2 linked regions of the Canis lupus familiaris genome follow. The protein of the gene in region 2 interacts with the protein of the main gene of each other region in a biochemical or structural test. Links are inferred from orthologs where the notes say so. Each region holds a gene or a part of one and is shown on either strand. Other genes may lie near its edges.

Region 1 (3,931 bases), on a different chromosome or scaffold from region 2:
AGGGTGAGGAGGACGTTGGTCGCTGCCAAGAAAGAAAGGAGTACGATGAGAAAAGTATTGGCAGATCTTCACACAGCTGCTCTCACAAGCCAGTCTCTCCCTCCCCCGCCCCCACAGTTCCTAATTGTAAAGATAGGACACCTGGGGTGAAGGATACACAAGGAGCAGGTGCATGTGTGTGGATTACTCTGAAGTCACTTGGGGTTACCTGGGGTAATTTATGCATGACTACCACTCCCTAAGGTTCTCAGCTTGTTTTAGGTGGACTCTCCTGAATGTCCTCATATGACACCCCCCCCCCCCCAAAAAAAAAATAGAAGAGTACTCACAACTGGAACAGCCTTTGTTTCTGAGAATGGCTTCTGGTGTGGTTCCAAAGACAAACCTCACGTTCTGCAGCACCCCCTGGGGGCAGAGGACACACATTACTTGTAGAGTGGTGGGGGTGGGGGTGGGGGTGGGGGTGCAGTTTATTCCAGGAAAAGCGCACAACAGAAGTTCTAAAATTTTAAAAGAGCTCCCTTTGAAGATCACCACGTCAAAATAACACACCAACGTCAACTGCCAAACAACTTCACAATCTTAATTGGGTTGTCCGCCAAGTCTTGAGTACTTTACAAAGAAATCCGTTATCTGCCTACTTGGGTACACAGGAAATGGGATCGGATACTAAGGACAGAGGATTTAATGACACTCTCCAGTGTCAAAGAGCTAGATGTGGGAGTTTCAAAGCCACAGTGGCAAAAACCTAGACATCCAGGCAAGGAGGAAGCCGCAGCCGCAAATAGCCACTATTTTAACCTTTGGGGACCGGCTCCTGAGACTGGCTCCAACCCCATGAGGAATCAAATGGCAAAGTGGTATTTATTCTGCTCTCCGTATCCATTTCAAGCTACATCACAATTGGCAGAACGATCTGAAAAAAGCTCTTTTCTTGAGGAGAGCATAAGGAGTATTTAGGACTTGAACAGGTGCTTATAGGAAAACTACTTGTTTCCTTTAGCGGTCTTCAAAGTACGGCACGCCCAGAACACAGGCCCCAACAGCTTGTGAAGCCCCAGCTTCACCTGGAATTTGTTAGAAACGCAAATGATCAGGCCCCATCCCAGGGGCACGGAATCTGAACCTCTGGGGATGCGGTGCAGCGCGCGTTTCACCGAGCCCTGCAGGTGATTCTGGTGCCCCTGGAGGCGTGGGAAGCACGGCTCTGGTCCAAAGGCGGGATCTCCTGTACTGGAAATCCCTGCCTCCCCCGCTACAGCCCTCCTGACAGGTCAGCAGCCGACCCCACGAACGGGAGGAGAGGCCTCACCTGGAAGTTGTCGTTGACCCCTCCTTTCGCGATGCGGAGTCTGGCCACGCTGGCCAGGTCCCTGGTGAAGATGCTCTGGATGGGGACATCCAGCTCGGCGTTCTCCATCTTCTCACAGTCAATGTACAGCTGGGCCCTGTCCTCCTGCACGAACAGGGTGATGCTCTTCCACTGGCCGGTGGCCAGCAGCGCTTCTTCCACCGACACCACGTGTTGCATGCCCTGCACGGTCAGGCTCAGGTCCAGGGTGCCGGCTCTGCCGTTGGAGACCACGCTGAAGACCTGGCCAGAGTGGTCTTTCCGTTCTATGGCCAGCAGCGTGCCTCGGGTCTTCTTCATCTGCCTCAGGGAGGCCAGGAGAAGGAAGCCTTTCTCTGCGCGCACAGCATCCACTAGGTCTTGGAACTTGTCATCAGGCACGGGGGGGATCAGGTTGGCATCCTCGATGCGGAAAGCTGGGCTGGAGGGGTCAGGACCCTTCACCAGCCGGCGCCCAGAGCCCCTCCGGGCAGCCCCCGTGAGTTCAAAGATGTCGAACACGCTGTTGTCTCCCCCAGACTCTGTTCAACAGGAGCAGGGCACACAGTGAGCCAACTAGGCTGAGGCCGGGGGTGCGGGGCAAAAGGGCAGGGCAAGAACTGGGCAACCACTGGAAGAACTGAATCCGCACTGTGGTCGGGGGAAGCTGCCTGCTGATGGTCCCCGAGGGCGCCGGGGGAAGGCTGGCACAAGAGAGCACGGGAGGGGGTGTCCTCGGGGTAACCGGCACCTCCTCATCTGCCCTCCCCGCTCAGAAGGTGTTACCTAGACTCACCTGGAAGGCGGCTGGAGGCGCACACACGCAACAGGAACAGGACGCCGAGTGCCCAGGCCAGCCCCATGGTGGAGCCGCTCGTGCCCAGCCGGGAGCCTGTAGCGGGAAGCAGACCCCGGGGTCAGAGCGGCCGCGCAGGGAGAGCGGGCACAACCGGGCGCCGGGCTTGGGGCCAGGGCCCTGGCGGATCCCCCTCTGGCCTCACGTCTGCCGGAACGAGGGGCAACAGTACTCACTTTGGACGGGGCATCAGGAAGAAAGAGTGAGGGGGGGAGACGGGTTTTAAAGTCGGGGGCGGGTGGCGCTGGGGCAAAGACCAGCAACCTGGGGGCTCTGGCTGGGGAAGTCGAGGGGGGGCAGGAGATGCGGTCTGGGGGCGCGGGGAGGCACGGGGAAGTCGAGACTCCCCTCCCGACGGCTCAGAGAGAGGTGTGGGGAGAAAGAAAGTCCTGGGGGGTCCTGACGAGCTGGTGTGTGAACCCCACGGCCGGAGGGGGGAGCCCGGGGGCGCGGGGCGGCGGGCACCGGGAGACCCGGGCTCCCCGAGGGCCGAAGCCTCGGGCTCAGGGCGGCTGAGCGGGGCGCCTCACCTGTGCGCTCGGGTGCAGCGGGCCGGGGCGGCGCCGAGTCCGGAGAGGCGCGGGGCGGGAGGCCGCTCGAGGCAGTGGCTGGCGGGGCGGCGGGGCGGTGCGCCTTTAAGGGCGCGCGCACATTCCTGGGGTTGCCTCCGGCCAATGGGAGGCGGCGGGGCCCGCGGGAGGGGGGCAGGCTGGGCCCCTGTCTCCGCCCCCCGCCGCCGCAGCCTCCCTTTCCAGCCGGAGTAGCGCGAGCGGGCGGGGGCGGGGGCGGGGGCGGGGGCGGCGGAGTCCCTGCCCCAGGAGCCCGCCCACGCCGCCTGGACGCGCGGGCGCTCGGCGCTCGGGCCGCGGGAGGCGGGAGGGAGCCCCGGGAGCCGGCACCGGCCTTAGCCCCCGGGCGGGGGCGGGGGCGGGGGCGGGACTTTGGGGCAGAGCCGTCTCCCGGAACACCTGGGCCGCGGCTGACGCTCGGGGACCGAGCCCGTCGGTGAAGCCCAACGATCCCGTCGGGGGTAAATGGGACCCGCTGGGGCTCCGGCCGGGGCGACCCTCCTCCCTCCGCCCGGCGGGCGATCGCCGCTCGCGGCCCCGCCGCCGGGCGCCCAGGGCCCCGCCGCCGCCCCCCGCGCTGCACGGCGCCTCCGCGGCTGGCCGCTTGGGGGCGGTCTTGCACTCGGATGGAGGGGCCCGCGCCGGCCGCCGCCTGCTGGCCGCGACCCCGGAGGGAACGGCCTCCTAGAACCTCCCTGCAGCCAAAACGGGCTTTGCGGCTTGAAAAACAGTTTCTGTGCCCACTCGTGCTTCTTAACGTGACTCCTGGTTGGAGGACTTGCGGAAGCATCTGGCTCTGGGGTCTTAGACTATTCACAGAACAGGCCCATCAAGTAATAAATTACCCTCCACCTATCATCTTATTTCCTTTTTGCCTCCCTCAACGTTCTTTTCATTTTTTTAGCTCCCGAAACCGAGGGGTGGGTTACATTTCTGTGGGTGCACCAACTACCACGAGCGCGGCGGCTCAATGCTTCTGTCATTGGAAGTCTGGTCTCCAAACCACTGTCTCAAGCCAGCATGACTCCAGCTGCCTGGAATTCCATTCATCTCTTAGGGCTGGGATGTCAGCAGCCACACTTCCCCCGCTGTGTCCTGCGCCATCGGGCTGGCCCGGACGGAGACACAGGACGCAGGTAGGAGCTTTACCAAATAAGGAGCTCAGCCACAGGCAGG
Region 2 (3,500 bases):
CAAATCAAAGTGGCTTACGTTTTTTTCCAGACCAGCCTGTGGATTTGTCTCTGGAGTGAAAATACTGTGTCTGTGGGGCTCCTGGGCAGCCCACTCCTGGCATGGGATGCCCATCACAGTGGTTGCCTTCTTGCCCCGGTATCCTTTGCCGTTCCCAAACATGCAGTCTGTAAGGAAGAGGAAATGGGCGGTTATGTGTTACTGCCCAGACCCAGGATGGTAGGGAAGATAGGCCATCGTGCCAGGACTCTCTAATGACAGATTCTGTGGTCACATCACTAAGGCGCTGGAATGCTGACAATTACAGCGAACACTGCCTATTTTACCAGGTTACTAAAAACGCCTGGGAAATAATCAGAAGCCAAAATGTTAGCGTGGGAATTTTGGCCAGGACACTAAGTGAGTCAATTTTATAATAAGCTGAGTGGTGAGACAGCACCCAGAAGATTCGCATAAAGCAGATGCTGCGGTGAACTGTCAGATGACCCTCAAACACCTGGTTCTCAAGGCTGGGTTAAAAAAAAAAAAAAAAAAGAGTGCAAATTGGAAAGGATTTTTATCCAAGATACTATTTTGGCTAGAGTTGGGCTGTGAGTTCCCATCCTTTGGCATGAAGGGCTTTATCCGCAGACGGCTTGGGGCTCCTCCTCCAAGCCCATCCCTTGTCTCGAGCCTAGGGAAAAGAGGCTTCCACAAAAACCCTCGGAGATCATGATGCATGTCCCATAAGGGGACCCAGGGCACCAGTGCTCTGATGGCCACTTGAAAAATCCAAAATGCAGAAGCTGGGCCAGCTAGCTTCTCTGCCCGTGGTCTGCAAGCCCGATGTTTGCCAGGACCGGGGTAAGGGAGTTACCCAAGCACCAGATGGGGGGAAGGCACCTGGGGGAACCATGGTAGACCGTCTCAAGACTCACCCACGAGGGACACCCAGATGGGCATGGAGCCCGAAGCATCACCAAGAGAGAGGGAAGAGAGAGGTACCAGCCTGTTCAAGGAAGACTGGGCCAGGTTCTCCTCTGCAGAGCAGCCAAGCCCACTCAGGACAGAGAGGGGTGCCAACTTCAAACCAAAGTTCTCGTTTTAACCCCCACCTATCTGCAGGACTTTTGAATTATCTGAAAGTGACCAGGCAAGTCACGGAGCCGGAGTTTTCATGCTGGGGCCGGGGGTAAGACAAGCACGGAAGCAGGTGCTAAGCGCTCAGAGCGGCTCCCCGAGGGCCAGGGAAGCACAGAAGGCTGTGATTATTTCCTGCCTCCATCTCTGTGCTCAGTGACCCTGCAAGCCACGTATCGGCTTTGCCAGGTTCGTGCTGGAGAGCCGGGCTTGACTGTCCTGCGAGCACTCCCAGTTCAGTCTGTTCAAAACCAAGTTAATCGGGATCCCTGGGTGGCGCAGTGGTTTAGCCCCTGCCTTTGGCCCAGGGCCTGATCCTGGAGACCAGGGATCGAGCCGCACGTCAGGTTCCCTGCATGGAGCCTGCTTCTCCCTCTGCCTGTGTCTCTGCCTCTCTCTCTCTCTCTCTCTGTGTGTGTGTGTGTGTCTCTCTCTCTCTGTGTCTATCATGAATAAATAAGTAAAATCTTTAAAAAAAATTAATCATTTCCATGTCTCCGTGGGGGAGGCAAGGATTTGGTGTTCTAGCAGGTACCATTGCAGCCGGCGCTGCCATCCTCCACCTCTCAATCCACGCAGGCTCGAATTTTATCCATCCCTCCAAACCACTTGGTTTTCAAGTCCTAAAAACACAGCCCGCCCACGTTACACCAGCAATAGCGGCTCTGGCCGCCCCGATCCCGGATGCCACGCCAGGCTGGCCTCCACTTGGCAGACCCTGGGCTGCGCTCGGTTCCCTGGAGCAATGAAGCGCTCTGCCTCCGTTAGACGGGCCTCCTCTTATCATCCCGGTGCCCAGGTGGCCAGAGGCCTGGGCACAGACATCCCACCTGATGCAGAAGGCTCCTGTCCGCTGGGAACTTGGGGCACAGCAGGGGAGTTGGTGGCGCTCGCCTCCGGGTCTAAGCATTTTCTCAAGTTACAGAACTCCCAGCGCACAGAGGGGTCGGTGGTGTAACACCAAGGGCTTTTGTCGGCGTCGGGGTTCCTGCAGTAGTTCATCGTCAGGCCACTGTAAATTCCACAACACAGGTCAGGAGGGTGGAGAATCTTTCAGGGCACCCCGCACCCTCAGCCTTTTGTCATAATAGAGTGCTAATCAGTGACTTTGAAACATTTCCATTAAAGATACTGCACGTACCAGTTATTATTATAATGCGACAAACAGATGGCTCTCAACTTCCGAACAACTGGGCGCACTGAAAACATCGATTACAATTTTTATCTCAAAAATCAAATGTAATATGTGCTCCATATAAAAATTGAAATAGGGCAGCCTGGTGGCTCAGCAGTTTAGCGCCGCCTTTGGCCCAGGGCGTGATCCTGGAGACCCAGGATCGAGTCCCACGTCGGGCTCCCTGCACGGAGCCTGCTTCTCCCTCTGCCTGTGTCTCTGCCTCTCTCTCTCTCTCTGTGTCTCTCATGAATAAATAAATAAAATATTTTTTAAAAACTGAAATAATATATGTGTATAAATGAAAGTACTCAAATGTCTTCCTTTCCACGGGCAGGGGTCGTACATCTCCCAGAGATAACCAATACTGTATTTAAAGCTCACGTTATTAGGATGATTTCCTATGCGTGTACAACTGTGTCTGTATCCCTCTGTAGGAACACATAGAGCTGTATAAGTTGAAACTAAAACTTATTTCCCCGAGGGATGACATCATGAGGACACTCTTTGGCCAGTACCCTCTGTCCACTGACTCACAGTGTTGCTAAAACGCTGTGCACTGGGACACCTGGGTGGCTCAGGGCGTGATCCCGGGATCCGGGATCGAGTCCCACATTGGGCTCCCTGCTGGGAGGCTGCTTCTCCCTCTGCCTGTGTCTCTGCCTCTCTCTCTGGGTCTCTTATGAATGAATAAAATATTTTTTTAAAAAATAATTGTACATTTCATACTCCACACAGCACGGAGGAGGGGGGTGGTTGTTCTATGATCTTGGCATCACTTATCGTCTGTCGTTCTAATGGCAGGCACTGCCAATGGGCTATTGTGGTTATAACTTATCTCCTTGATGGCTAAGATATTGAGAATTTTTTTAGGTACTTAATGGCCACTTGTATATCTTCCCTGTGGAATGCCAGAGGAAGTTCTGTCCATTTTTATTAGGTAGGAAAAATATTTATATATCTGGATGTAAGCCATGTCAAATATATGCATTGAGTATATTTTTCTCCCAGTCTGTGACATATCCATTTTTTTTAATAGTGACTTTTGGTGAGCAGGAGTATTCATTTTGTTAAAGTCCAGATTAGACATGTTTTTCCTTTTATTCCATCTTTTAGGTCTTGTCTAAAAATTTTTGCCTTCCTGAAGGCTATGAAAATATTCTTTTATGTTTTTGCCTGGAAGCTTCATAGTTCAGCTTTGGTTTTA

The links. The genes of interacting proteins can lie anywhere in the genome.
Region 1: the proteins of PLG (region 2) and THBS1 form a complex in vitro, tested with the Homo sapiens proteins (2 studies listed by BioGRID). The link is inferred for Canis lupus familiaris from reciprocal best matches to the Homo sapiens genes PLG and THBS1.

The regions. Positions count from the first base shown.
Region 1 is NC_049251.1:7,054,110-7,058,040, reverse strand, and holds the start of THBS1 (thrombospondin-1), read right to left. Parts: upstream 2,801-3,931; 5' UTR 2,717-2,800; intron 2,223-2,716; 5' UTR 2,194-2,222; coding exon 2,127-2,193; intron 1,873-2,126; coding exon 1,313-1,872; intron 406-1,312; coding exon 330-405; intron 23-329; coding exon 1-22. UniProt on the Homo sapiens protein: Adhesive glycoprotein that mediates cell-to-cell and cell-to-matrix interactions.
Region 2 is NC_049222.1:50,062,226-50,065,725, forward strand, and holds part of PLG (plasminogen precursor), read right to left. Parts: intron 2,132-3,500; coding exon 1,950-2,131; intron 168-1,949; coding exon 19-167; intron 1-18. UniProt on the Homo sapiens protein: Plasmin dissolves the fibrin of blood clots and acts as a proteolytic factor in a variety of other processes including embryonic development, tissue remodeling, tumor invasion, and inflammation. In ovulation, weakens the walls of the Graafian follicle.